Linked DNA regions of Danio rerio. The protein of the gene in region 2 interacts with the protein of the main gene of each other region in a pairwise test. Links are inferred from orthologs where the notes say so. Each region holds a gene or a part of one and is shown on either strand. Other genes may lie near its edges.

Region 1 (5,317 bases), on a different chromosome or scaffold from region 2:
AAGCATTTATCTGAAATAGAAATCTACCGTGACATTATAAATGCCTTTATCATTATTTTTAATAATCATAACTATTAAATACTTTTAATATCTGAGCTCATTCCAATCAAATGTTTTCGTTCTATCCTTTTTGACAAACAACAGTCCATTTCTCAGTGTATGTGTTTTTAACATATTGTAATGTGGTATAGCTGAACAACTAAACTGTAATTTTTATATTATCTTAACTTTCTATTTATTATTATTACTATTATTGTTGTTGTTATTATTATTTTTTATTCATAAGTCGTGTTGTGGACCTAAGATTTTAATCTCAATGGGTTTTTATCCGGTTAAATAAAGAAACATACTTTTAAATTTTAATATAAAGTATCCTTGCTAAGTAAAGGTAACAAATAAAAAAATACTGACTGTCACTGCTTTTAAGTAGTATAATGTGTATGATGTCAAAAGCTTTTGAATTTAGGTAAAATGATTGATTTTGTTTGACGTTCTCTTCATCAATTAATTATGAATATCATCATTAAACTGTGATTAAATATTAAAATTATTAATGAAAGTCATGTTTTGACTGATTTTGCTGTACTTTTGAACAAATAAATGCAGGTTTGGTGAGCAGAAGTGTGTTCTTTTAAAAAAATAAGAAGATAATTTAAATTCTTACTAAATTCACTAATTGAAAACTTGTCAAATGGGCGAAACCTAGTGGTTTAAGGGATAGCAGCAAAGATTCAGACAATATGTTAAAATGACAAATTAAATAGTTTTAATTTGATTGATTTATTTTTATTTTTTTAATAAAATTATTTGGGATTACGCTGACATTTTATTGTCTTTGGTAAACACTTAATTGATCATTATTGTTTGTGTAAAATGGCATGCAGGGTTTTTCCTGCAAAGAGAATTGTGAGGTGGCCACCTCCATAATTTTTTGCACCACCTCCAGCTTTTGACCAATCAGGCATGCAGTCACGGCAACCAACAGACCCCAAGTGATGCTCAAGCATTGGTCATTTATTTAGTTGCATATAATATCTGCCTTTTTAAATATGAACATGTTTAACTTGAGTGGGTTACTAAAAAGAATGCAAAATGTGCTTGTTTCAAGTAGCAAACATTTCATCTTCCATCTTCGGCTTATTTTGTGCCAGAAAAAACCCTGTCGTGTTTGTTCAAATACAACTTATAAATGCTTATGTCCATTTATTTATTTTGTAACGCTAAATCAGAATGCTACAAATGATTTTATTGGGACTTTAAATGATACAATGCATATTTTAAAATTATTTTTAAATACCTTGATGAATAATTAATAATTAGACTTGCCTGTGAACGTATTTGCAGCTGAAGTCGCCCAACTTCATCTTGAAGGTCCATGATTTTACCCTGAGCCCTCTCTCGGTCTGCCCTTTCCGATTTAAAGTCTTCAACATAGGCCAGAACCTGTGAGTGTACAAGTAAGCCATTTGTGTTATGGGCAGCAAGCCAAACAACAAAACTACTTCTCACCTTTGTTATGACAAAAATACAACGACTTCCTATTTAATAGGATTGTACACACTGAACGGATACAGACCTGCTGCTCGAGCATCTGTATCTGCTCTTGGTCTCTTCTCGCATTGTCATCCCTCTCTCTACTGAATCTCTCACACTCCATCATCTTGTCCTGCAGGAGGCCGTTGAGTCTCACAATTTCCTGCTGGAACAAAGCCACGTGTCCCGCAGTCGGGGCTTGGGTTAGAGTCGGATCTGCGGAAGCCAGTCCATTTGACTCTTTCAACTTCTGACACAAACCCCTCACGTACTCTTCTCTACTCGAGTCATACTTCTGCCATTTTGAGTTTAAACTTTCCACCTGAAATGGAACAAAACAAGTTGTGATGTGAAAAAATTACATGACATTTTCCAAGAATTTTTTTACACTGTTGATTCTTTCCGTAACAGTTACAGTATGACATTTTCAGCATATGACACAGGTAAAACAAATGTCAGAGGGTGATGATCAAACAACAGTTCCATCATGTGATCCTTACATATGCCACTCTCTTCTTGAGCTGGTCGTTCTCCTCTTCTAACTTGCTAATGATGACATTTAGCTGGGGAACTTCGGGGGAATCTGATGTCTGATAAAATATAAGGTCAAATATAATCATTAGGCAGCTGTTTTAAAGGTGCCTTAAATGTTGCAGACTGACAGTTTCCACAACGCACCTCATGAACTTGAGTTCTCTGATCCGTCATGGCTGTTTTGTTTTTCTCGTTTTCCAGCCGTCCCAAAAGCTCCTGACACACCTGCACAGTGGCCCCCAACTGGGCCCTTAACTGATCGGCTTCTTCAGCAAGAGAGTTGCAAAGTACAGTCCTGGTGGCCTGTGTCCGATCTCTTTCGGCCAATGTGGTGCGCAGTTGCTGGATCTCCCTCTCTTTCTCCTGCTCTGGTCTTTCCCTGATGGTCAGCAACTCTTGATCCCTCTCCTTCAACTTTTCCTGCAATCTCTGGATCTCCTTAAACAAGCAGTCGGGAGATTCACAAATGAGAAGGTGAACACGAAATGCACTTGTTTCATCAAAACTAAAGCATATTCTGTATTCATGAACAAAGTTGTACATAAAAAGCCGGACTAACAGTACAAACAAGCAAGAAAAACAAAGCTTAAACTTAAGTTTTCTGGTCAGTTTTTCAAAGGCACTTAATGTTAGCTGACTTGAAGACCACCATAAACCAGCTAAGACCAGCAACACATTGTAAGCTGGTTTACATGTTTTGTTTTTGTGATATAACATTAATTTCATTACAATTTCTTGAGTTAGGAATTGGAGTATTTTATAGAGAGGATACTTTACAGTTCTTTTACAGTCATTGGAAAAGTATACTGACAAGAAAAACAACAAATTTACTCTAATTAGTAGAGAAAATGTTATTAATTATTTCATATTATTAATTCAGAATTGTGTTTAACTTACTTTGTCTCTGGTTTCCAATTTCTGGGCAGTGTCTTTCTCTAAATCCTTCAGTTTTTGCTTTAATTTGCAAATTTCCTTACACAAACTTTCGATGAGTGACTTCGATGGCCCTACAATATAAGGTTCCTCTCCCTCAATGACCACGGTTTTCTCATACTTCCCCAGTCTTGCCCTCAAATCGGCAATAATCCCGTCTTTGGAGGTCACCAACTGATTTAAACGAGCAATTTCTTGCTGTGTTTCGTGGTAAATTGTGTTGAGAGTAGAGCAGCTGCGCAACTTCGCCCTCAGCGCCTCGTTCTCCCTCTTCATCTCATCCATGCTGAGCAATCCGTTAAAACGAGCACATATAGTACAAATTTCCCATATATTGTACAGGTCTGAGTGTCATAGGGCTCACAGGCGTCTGCTGTAACTTATGTTAGACCAAAATGTTTCAGAGCAGTTTCAGTCTGCGAGAGCCTCACTCAATTTCGAAATTATGAACAGGGGATTTCCTCACGGGGACTTCCCCCCATCTCAAACTGGGTATATTTTTTGTACTGCACATAAAACGTCGAGAATAGTTGGGGTTACAGGCGCTGTTTTGCCTTCAAACGAGTTAACTGTCGAGTCGTGTGCGGTTTAATAGTGATTTTACACGTTTAAGAGACAGTCGACTCGCTCCTTCGTGTCGGATTAAGTTTACAGTTCAGTTTGACGCCGCCTGGTGCGCGTGGACGAGGATTGCGCGCGACCAGCATGCTACTTTATACTGTCAGTGACGCGCGTGGTGGTTAAACGTTTGCTTTTAGCTTCCTTGGTTATAACGATTAAGTTTGTCACGTCGCTCCCGAACACGGTACAACGAGCAGTTTAACACGCACAGTATTCTCAAGTAGCATCCGTGAAGGGAGTAGTCAGTTGAACTTGGACAGGTGACAAATCTTTACATATGGAAACGTAGGTAAAGTTCAAAATCGAAAGCAGGAGTCTATTCACACCATAGCTTATTATAAAAATATCCCACACTTTAAAGTATAACGTAGTCCAATATCAAAAATAAGATTAACCCTTTTACAAAACGGAATTCTTTAGCTAAAGAAAGCTGTAACATGTTGTTTCCTATTTAGCTCCATTGTTTTGTTTCCATTGGGAACCGAAACTGTTTACCTTTCTGTTAGTCTGTTTACCAGAGGCTTTCAGACACCACCACCATAGGACCCCCTCCTAAAATGTTAAAGATAATTCTTGTTCAAGACTAATAAATAATAAATAAATACATTAAATATATATCATTTCTACTCATCATTTTTGCCTGTGTAATTATTTAAATCAAATTAACTTTTAATAAAAAATATTTTGTATTTTTAATAAAAATATTTCTAAAAATGTTTAGTATAATCTAATCTAATATAATCTAAAAATATTTAGATTAATGTGAATCTTACCAAATAGTATTTTTAATTATTATTTTAAAAATGTTTTGAATATTTGGATGAAAATAACATAACACTGCCTAAAACTCCCCTTTCTTAAAAGATTCCATCTCATACCATTCCTCTTTTCATAATGGATAATGCCTGCCATTATCTTGGATCACATCTTGTCAATTGTCTAGACAATGAAAGCCAACGGTGCTTAGTTTGTGATCTGAAGATTGAACCATAAAACAGTCATTTTAATTACACAGTAATTAACAAACTTACAATGTCTAAACCCTCATTCTTAGTGCGAAGAATCTTTATCCCTCTGCCAAAAGCAGCACACATGAAACGGCAGAAAGTCCCGTTGAGCATGTAATGTTTGTGTGAGTTCATGATGTTCTGCCTAGGGAAAGTCCAAAACTGTTCTTTAAAGTTTGCCACCATCTTGTGGTATCAAAACAGCATTGACACGCATTTGACAGACGTGATATATTACTCATAAATATAAGTCAATCACGCACATGTATATAAATATAATTGTCACAATAAGAACACAGCTGAAGGTGCTTTTTCACACAACAGCCATTTCAGCTGTGTATACACATTTTTTATTGTTTAGGCATGCTTCTGCAGAGGTATGAAGTAAATCTGTGAAATTATAGGCAATGAAGTTGGTAATTACTCTTGGATCACATTAGGGCAACCCTTTCATTTGAGGATGGAATGTAGAAGTGCTTGCGTTTGCAACTTCTTGGCATTTAAGAACGGCTGGGAAAAACAAAAGGCAACCAATGGCTTATTTTTAATGACTTTATTTGAAAATGGTTAATACATATAAATAAATGACTACAAAATATATAAATAATAATAAAAAATACATCAAACAACTTCAGCTCCAAAGATATTCAATAATAAAAAAAATAATATAATAATATATATATATATAT
Region 2 (5,146 bases):
CATGTCTGTGCTAACGCAGAATGAAGCGAGTGCACCGATGCCCATTCTGACCAATCACAGATGTTTCTGCTGAGCTCCTGAACACACAGGCATTCTGCTCATGCTGATCTGCTCTCTCATTGGCTGCAGCTCGTCACTACATCTAACCACACGTGGGGTTGAGTCGGCCGACTGCTCTGGAATATTCAGCATGCTGAATGTTGGATTTCCGTCTGCGAGGTGTCGGCGAGGTGTCGGCGACGCGTCAGCGAGCCTCGTTGATGCGTTGTTCAGTAGTTCACACATAAAGAGCGGCGAGCGCCGAGCACCCGCAGATTTCTTCCCGATCACAGCCCGATCTGTCGGCGAGCTCGTTAACTTCCAAATCGGGCTCAAATCAGGCTTAAAATCCTCTAGTGTGAACTAGGCTTAAGCCGCTGCACTGTTCAGCTCTTCAGCATGCTGGATGTTGGTTTAAAAGAGATTTGTGTTTTAGATGCTTACTGAATCATATACTGACCAGTAACTTGTGGTGTGGATGCTACTTTTCTACTGTTGCCCTAAAAAAACTCAATAAAAGTCATGAAAAACAAAACCTACAAATACCTTAGGACTGATATAACACAATGTTTTAGCGGCTTTATACCTTGAATTTTTAAAACCGCGGTAAACCTTAAAACCGGTTATTGTCCCATGCCTAGTCCCTAATTAATTAGGACTCGCCACAGCAGAATGAACCGCCAACTATTCCAGCACATGTTTTACACAGCAGATCCACGCCAACCTGGAGAGACCATGCAAACTCCACACAGAAACACCAACTGACCCAGCCGGGCTTGCTGTGTGGCCACAGTGCTAACCACTGAGCCACCGTGTCACCCATATATATATATATATATATATATATATATATATATATATATATATATATATATATATATATATATATATATATATATATATATATATATATATATATATATTTTTTTTTTTTTTTTTTTTTTCTTGCTTTGTAGTTGTTTTGCTTTCTTTAGAATAGGCAGCTTTAAAAGGAACAGCAAGCAAGACTGACCCCCACAGATACATTGACAGCCTTCATGAATGAAATGCACACTTTTCCACCATCTGGCAACCCGGAGTGCTGAAATATAACTTGTAAAACTGGCTGTGGGGCAGAGTTACAGAGAAAGCAAAGACAGATATTCTGACACTGAAAGCACATTCTCAAAGCAGAAGAACTGACTGCTGAATTATTTCTCTGAAAAACATGCTCATTTAGCATGTTTCTTAAATATCTGCAAACATACTATGGTATTTCTATGCTTTAGAAGAGTCAAACACATACAGTTGAATTCAGAATTATTCGCCCCCTTTTTATTTTTTACCTAATTTCTGTTTAACAGAGAGCAGATTTTTTTCAGCACATTTCTAATCATAATAGTGTTAATAACTCATCTCTAATAACTGATTTATTTTCTCTTTGTCATGATGACAGTAAATAATATTAGACTAGATATTCTTCAAGACACTTCTATACAGCTTAAAGTGACATGTAAAGGCTTCACTAGGGTAATTAGGGTAAAGTTAGGGTAATTAGGCAAGTCATTGTATAATGACGGTTTGTTCGAAACAAAATAAATAGCTTAAAGGGGCTAATAATATTGACCTTAAAATGTTTTTAAAAAAATTAAAAACTGCTTTTATTCTAGCCGAAATAAAACAAATCACACTTTCTCCAGAAGAACAAATATTATCAGACATACTGTGAACATTTCCTCAATCTGTTCAACATAATTTGTGAAATATTTCCATTTCCAAATCCAAGGTTGGCCGAATAATTCTAGCTTCAACTGTACAGCATTTTGAATATGTTTTTGGCTTGTCACAGTGTGGATTGCACTTTTATTTGTTGTATTTACTTATTTTGTTCTTGTGCAAACAAATTAAATTTAAATTACCAGTAAAAAACCCCAGTACTGGGAAACACCCAGACCCACTCATTCACACACACAAAAACTCATACACTACGGCCAATTTAGTTGATCAGTTCCCCTATAGCGCATGTGTTTGGACTGTGGGGGAAACCAGAGCAAACCCACTCCAACACATGGAGAACATGCAAACTCCACACAGAAACACCAACTGACCCAGCCGAGACTCCAGCAGTCACACATTGCTTGTATAACATATTTGCATAAGCTTTTCATTGAGATATAAAATTGTTGATTGAGATTGAAAATAATGATCAAAATTACATTTGTATTTTGCATGAGCTCTTCATAAGTTCCAGCATTTAAATATACTGGGGGAAAGTTAGTTTCACACTTCTGGACTTTCTCCTTAATAATATAATCTCAGAAAAGTTTTCTTTGCAAATCCTAAAAAAGGACAATCACATTTTCAGCTGATGAAAAACAAGATTGCTGACAGTCAGTTAAATAGTGCTAATGTTGATTTGAGGTCATAATTATGTCTGATTTCAGACCCAATATTCAAAGCATCATGGTAAACAATATAGGGAGCGTGTCACAACTAGTCACTGAACAAACGTGCTAATATTAAACAAACTTTAGTTCCATTTTAAATATTACAGCTCCTTTATTCTTTATTTTAGTTCTCTTCAATGTTTTAATACGATCTAGACTGAGATATAGAAGCGACACAGGAATGAAGATCAGTCTAATGAGTCTGGATATCAATAAAAGACTGCAAAAGAGGATTTTACAATCTCACACACACACACTAACACAAACTACACACAAGAAAATAGAACACACACTGAGAGAAAACACAACACAACGACACACACAGAATACACAAACACAGATCTCTATCAAACGGTCGAGAACTGAGGAGAACCGGAGATCAGATGAGCTGATTGATTAATTGATTGATTATTGATCTGATCACCTGACCATCAACTGCGGATCATCGATCAGCCGCGATGTGTGTGCGTATGTATACATGTAGATATGCGTGTGTGTTTGTGTGTATGAGTGTTTGTGTCGATGGAAGGAAAGTGTTTGTCGGCGGCGGTTAGCGGCGGCTAATGCACACATACACACACACACGGACACAGACAGAGACACGCGCACACACACTGACCTGACGCTGGCCTCCTCCGCTCGGCTCACTGACGGACACACAGTCGTTCTTCTCCTTCTTTTTCGCTCTTTATTCCTCTGTTTTCTCGCTTCTGTTCTTCACAGCTGCTGCTGCTTCAAGGCTGCCGCCATCTTGTTTACCTCCCTCCCCTCGCTGCAGTACGCATGCGCACATCCGTGAACGCGCTCGAGGCCTCCAGACGGAAACGCGCGCAGGAAAGTTCCAACTTGAAGATGATCATATCCATTCATTTATTTATTTTCTTTTCGGCTTAGTCCCTTTATAAGTCTGGCGTCGCCACTGTGGAATGAACCACCAACTCATCCAGAATATGTTTAACGTAGCGGATGCCCTTCCAGCTGCAACCCAGTACTGGGAATATGACCATAATCAAAAATATCCAAATATGTTTATCAAAGATTATTATTATGTGTGGTGTGCTGGAGCACATCAGAGGGGATTTACGGCGAATCTAAATGGCATTCTTATATAATTCTTGGTAATTTACACCTTTATTATGGATTTATTGTCTATTATCTGGTTATTGTCAGGCTAAATACTTGCATACGAGGAATAAATATTAAATATATTACATGTTATTATTATTATTATTATATTATTATTATATAAAAGTGGCAAATACAGTAAGAGTGAATTTTGTAATTCTTACACTTTTTAAATATTTTAATAAATAATCTGTATTTGTGCTGTATTAAATAATCTGTACAGGCTGTATAAATTGCAATATTCTTGTTAGCACACTAACGAGTATTTGTTAATGCAGTATTTTAAATGGCAAAATGAGTTGAGTTGATGTTTATTTATTGATTTATTTGTAGAAATGTTATAGTTTTAAATATATAGCTGAAAGCAGAAGTTTACATACACTGTATAAAAGGGCAAATGACCATTTAAAAAAAGTCAGATGTTAATGTGACTAAACTTTTTCTCTTTTAGGTAAGTGAGGATGATCACATGTGTTTCTGTTCTGCTTGATAGCAGAATAATTAGAGATATATGTTGAGGAATTGTTCTAACTCTTGTTGAAAGTCAAGTTTACACACAATCAGATTATTCTGCCTCTGGAAAAGCTCAGATGATGATGTCAGGGTTTTGGAAGTTTCTGATTGGCTAATTGACAACATTTGAGTTAATGTGAGGCACAACTGTAGAATAGTGTTGAAGGAAAAGCTCAAACACACTGCTTCCTTCTGTGACAACATGAGAAAATCAACAAGCCACAATCAACAACAAAGCCAGATTTCCATTAGCTGAATGACACTGGGAACAGACTAATGTGTGGAGACATGTCCTGTGCTCTGATGGAGCTAAGATTGAACTGTTTGGCCATAATGAGCAGTGTTACATCTGGAGGACAAAGGGGAAACACACAAGCCTAGAACACCATCCCAACTGTGCAGTATGGGGGCGGCAGCATCATGTTGTGGGGCTGTTCTGCTGCAGGAGGGACTGGTCCACTTCACAGCATAGATGGCATCATGAAGACAGAACATCATGGAGAAATACTGAAGCAACATCTCAACACATCAGCCAGGACATTACAACTCAGCCACAAATGGCTCTTCCAGACAGACCATGACCCTAAGCACACTGCCAAATGAGTTAACATGTGCTTTAAGGACAACAGAGTGAATGTTTTGCAGTGGCCATCACAAAGCCCTGATCTCAATCCTATAGAGAATGTGTGGGCGGAGCTGAAAAAGCTTGTGCGAGCAAGACAGCCTACAAATCTGACTCAGTTACAGCAATTCTGCAGGAGGAATGGGCCAAAACTCCTGCAAACTATTGTGAGAAGCTTAAGGAAGGAGAGCCAAAACATCTGATTTTAGTTATACAGTTTAAACGCAAAGCTAAAGAAATACCAAGGAAATGTGTGTAAATGTGTGTCTAGAAATTATGTAAAAATTCTCTCATTCTGGCGTTTAGCAAATGTAAATAATTTGGACTTAAAACAATAGTTGTGTTTCTTTTTTTACAGTTTGTAAATTTCAACTGTATATTTCTTAATTTTATTCCTCATTCAGGCCTGTATTTCTCTTCT

Evidence for each region.
Region 1: the proteins of stk11 (region 2) and tnip2 interact in binary tests that used the Homo sapiens proteins (3 or more experiments, as listed by UniProt). The link is inferred for Danio rerio from reciprocal best matches to the Homo sapiens genes STK11 and TNIP2.

Annotation. Positions count from the first base shown.
Region 1 is NC_133176.1:40,470,615-40,475,931, forward strand, and holds the start of tnip2 (TNFAIP3-interacting protein 2), read right to left. Parts: upstream 3,686-5,317; 5' UTR 3,286-3,685; coding exon 2,965-3,285; intron 2,506-2,964; coding exon 2,212-2,505; intron 2,124-2,211; coding exon 2,034-2,123; intron 1,856-2,033; coding exon 1,577-1,855; intron 1,444-1,576; coding exon 1,327-1,443; intron 1-1,326. UniProt on the Homo sapiens protein: Inhibits NF-kappa-B activation by blocking the interaction of RIPK1 with its downstream effector NEMO/IKBKG.
Region 2 is NC_133177.1:63,067,946-63,073,091, reverse strand, and holds the start of stk11 (serine/threonine-protein kinase STK11), read right to left. Parts: upstream 3,240-5,146; 5' UTR 3,081-3,239; intron 1-3,080. UniProt on the Homo sapiens protein: Tumor suppressor serine/threonine-protein kinase that controls the activity of AMP-activated protein kinase (AMPK) family members, thereby playing a role in various processes such as cell metabolism, cell polarity, apoptosis and DNA damage response.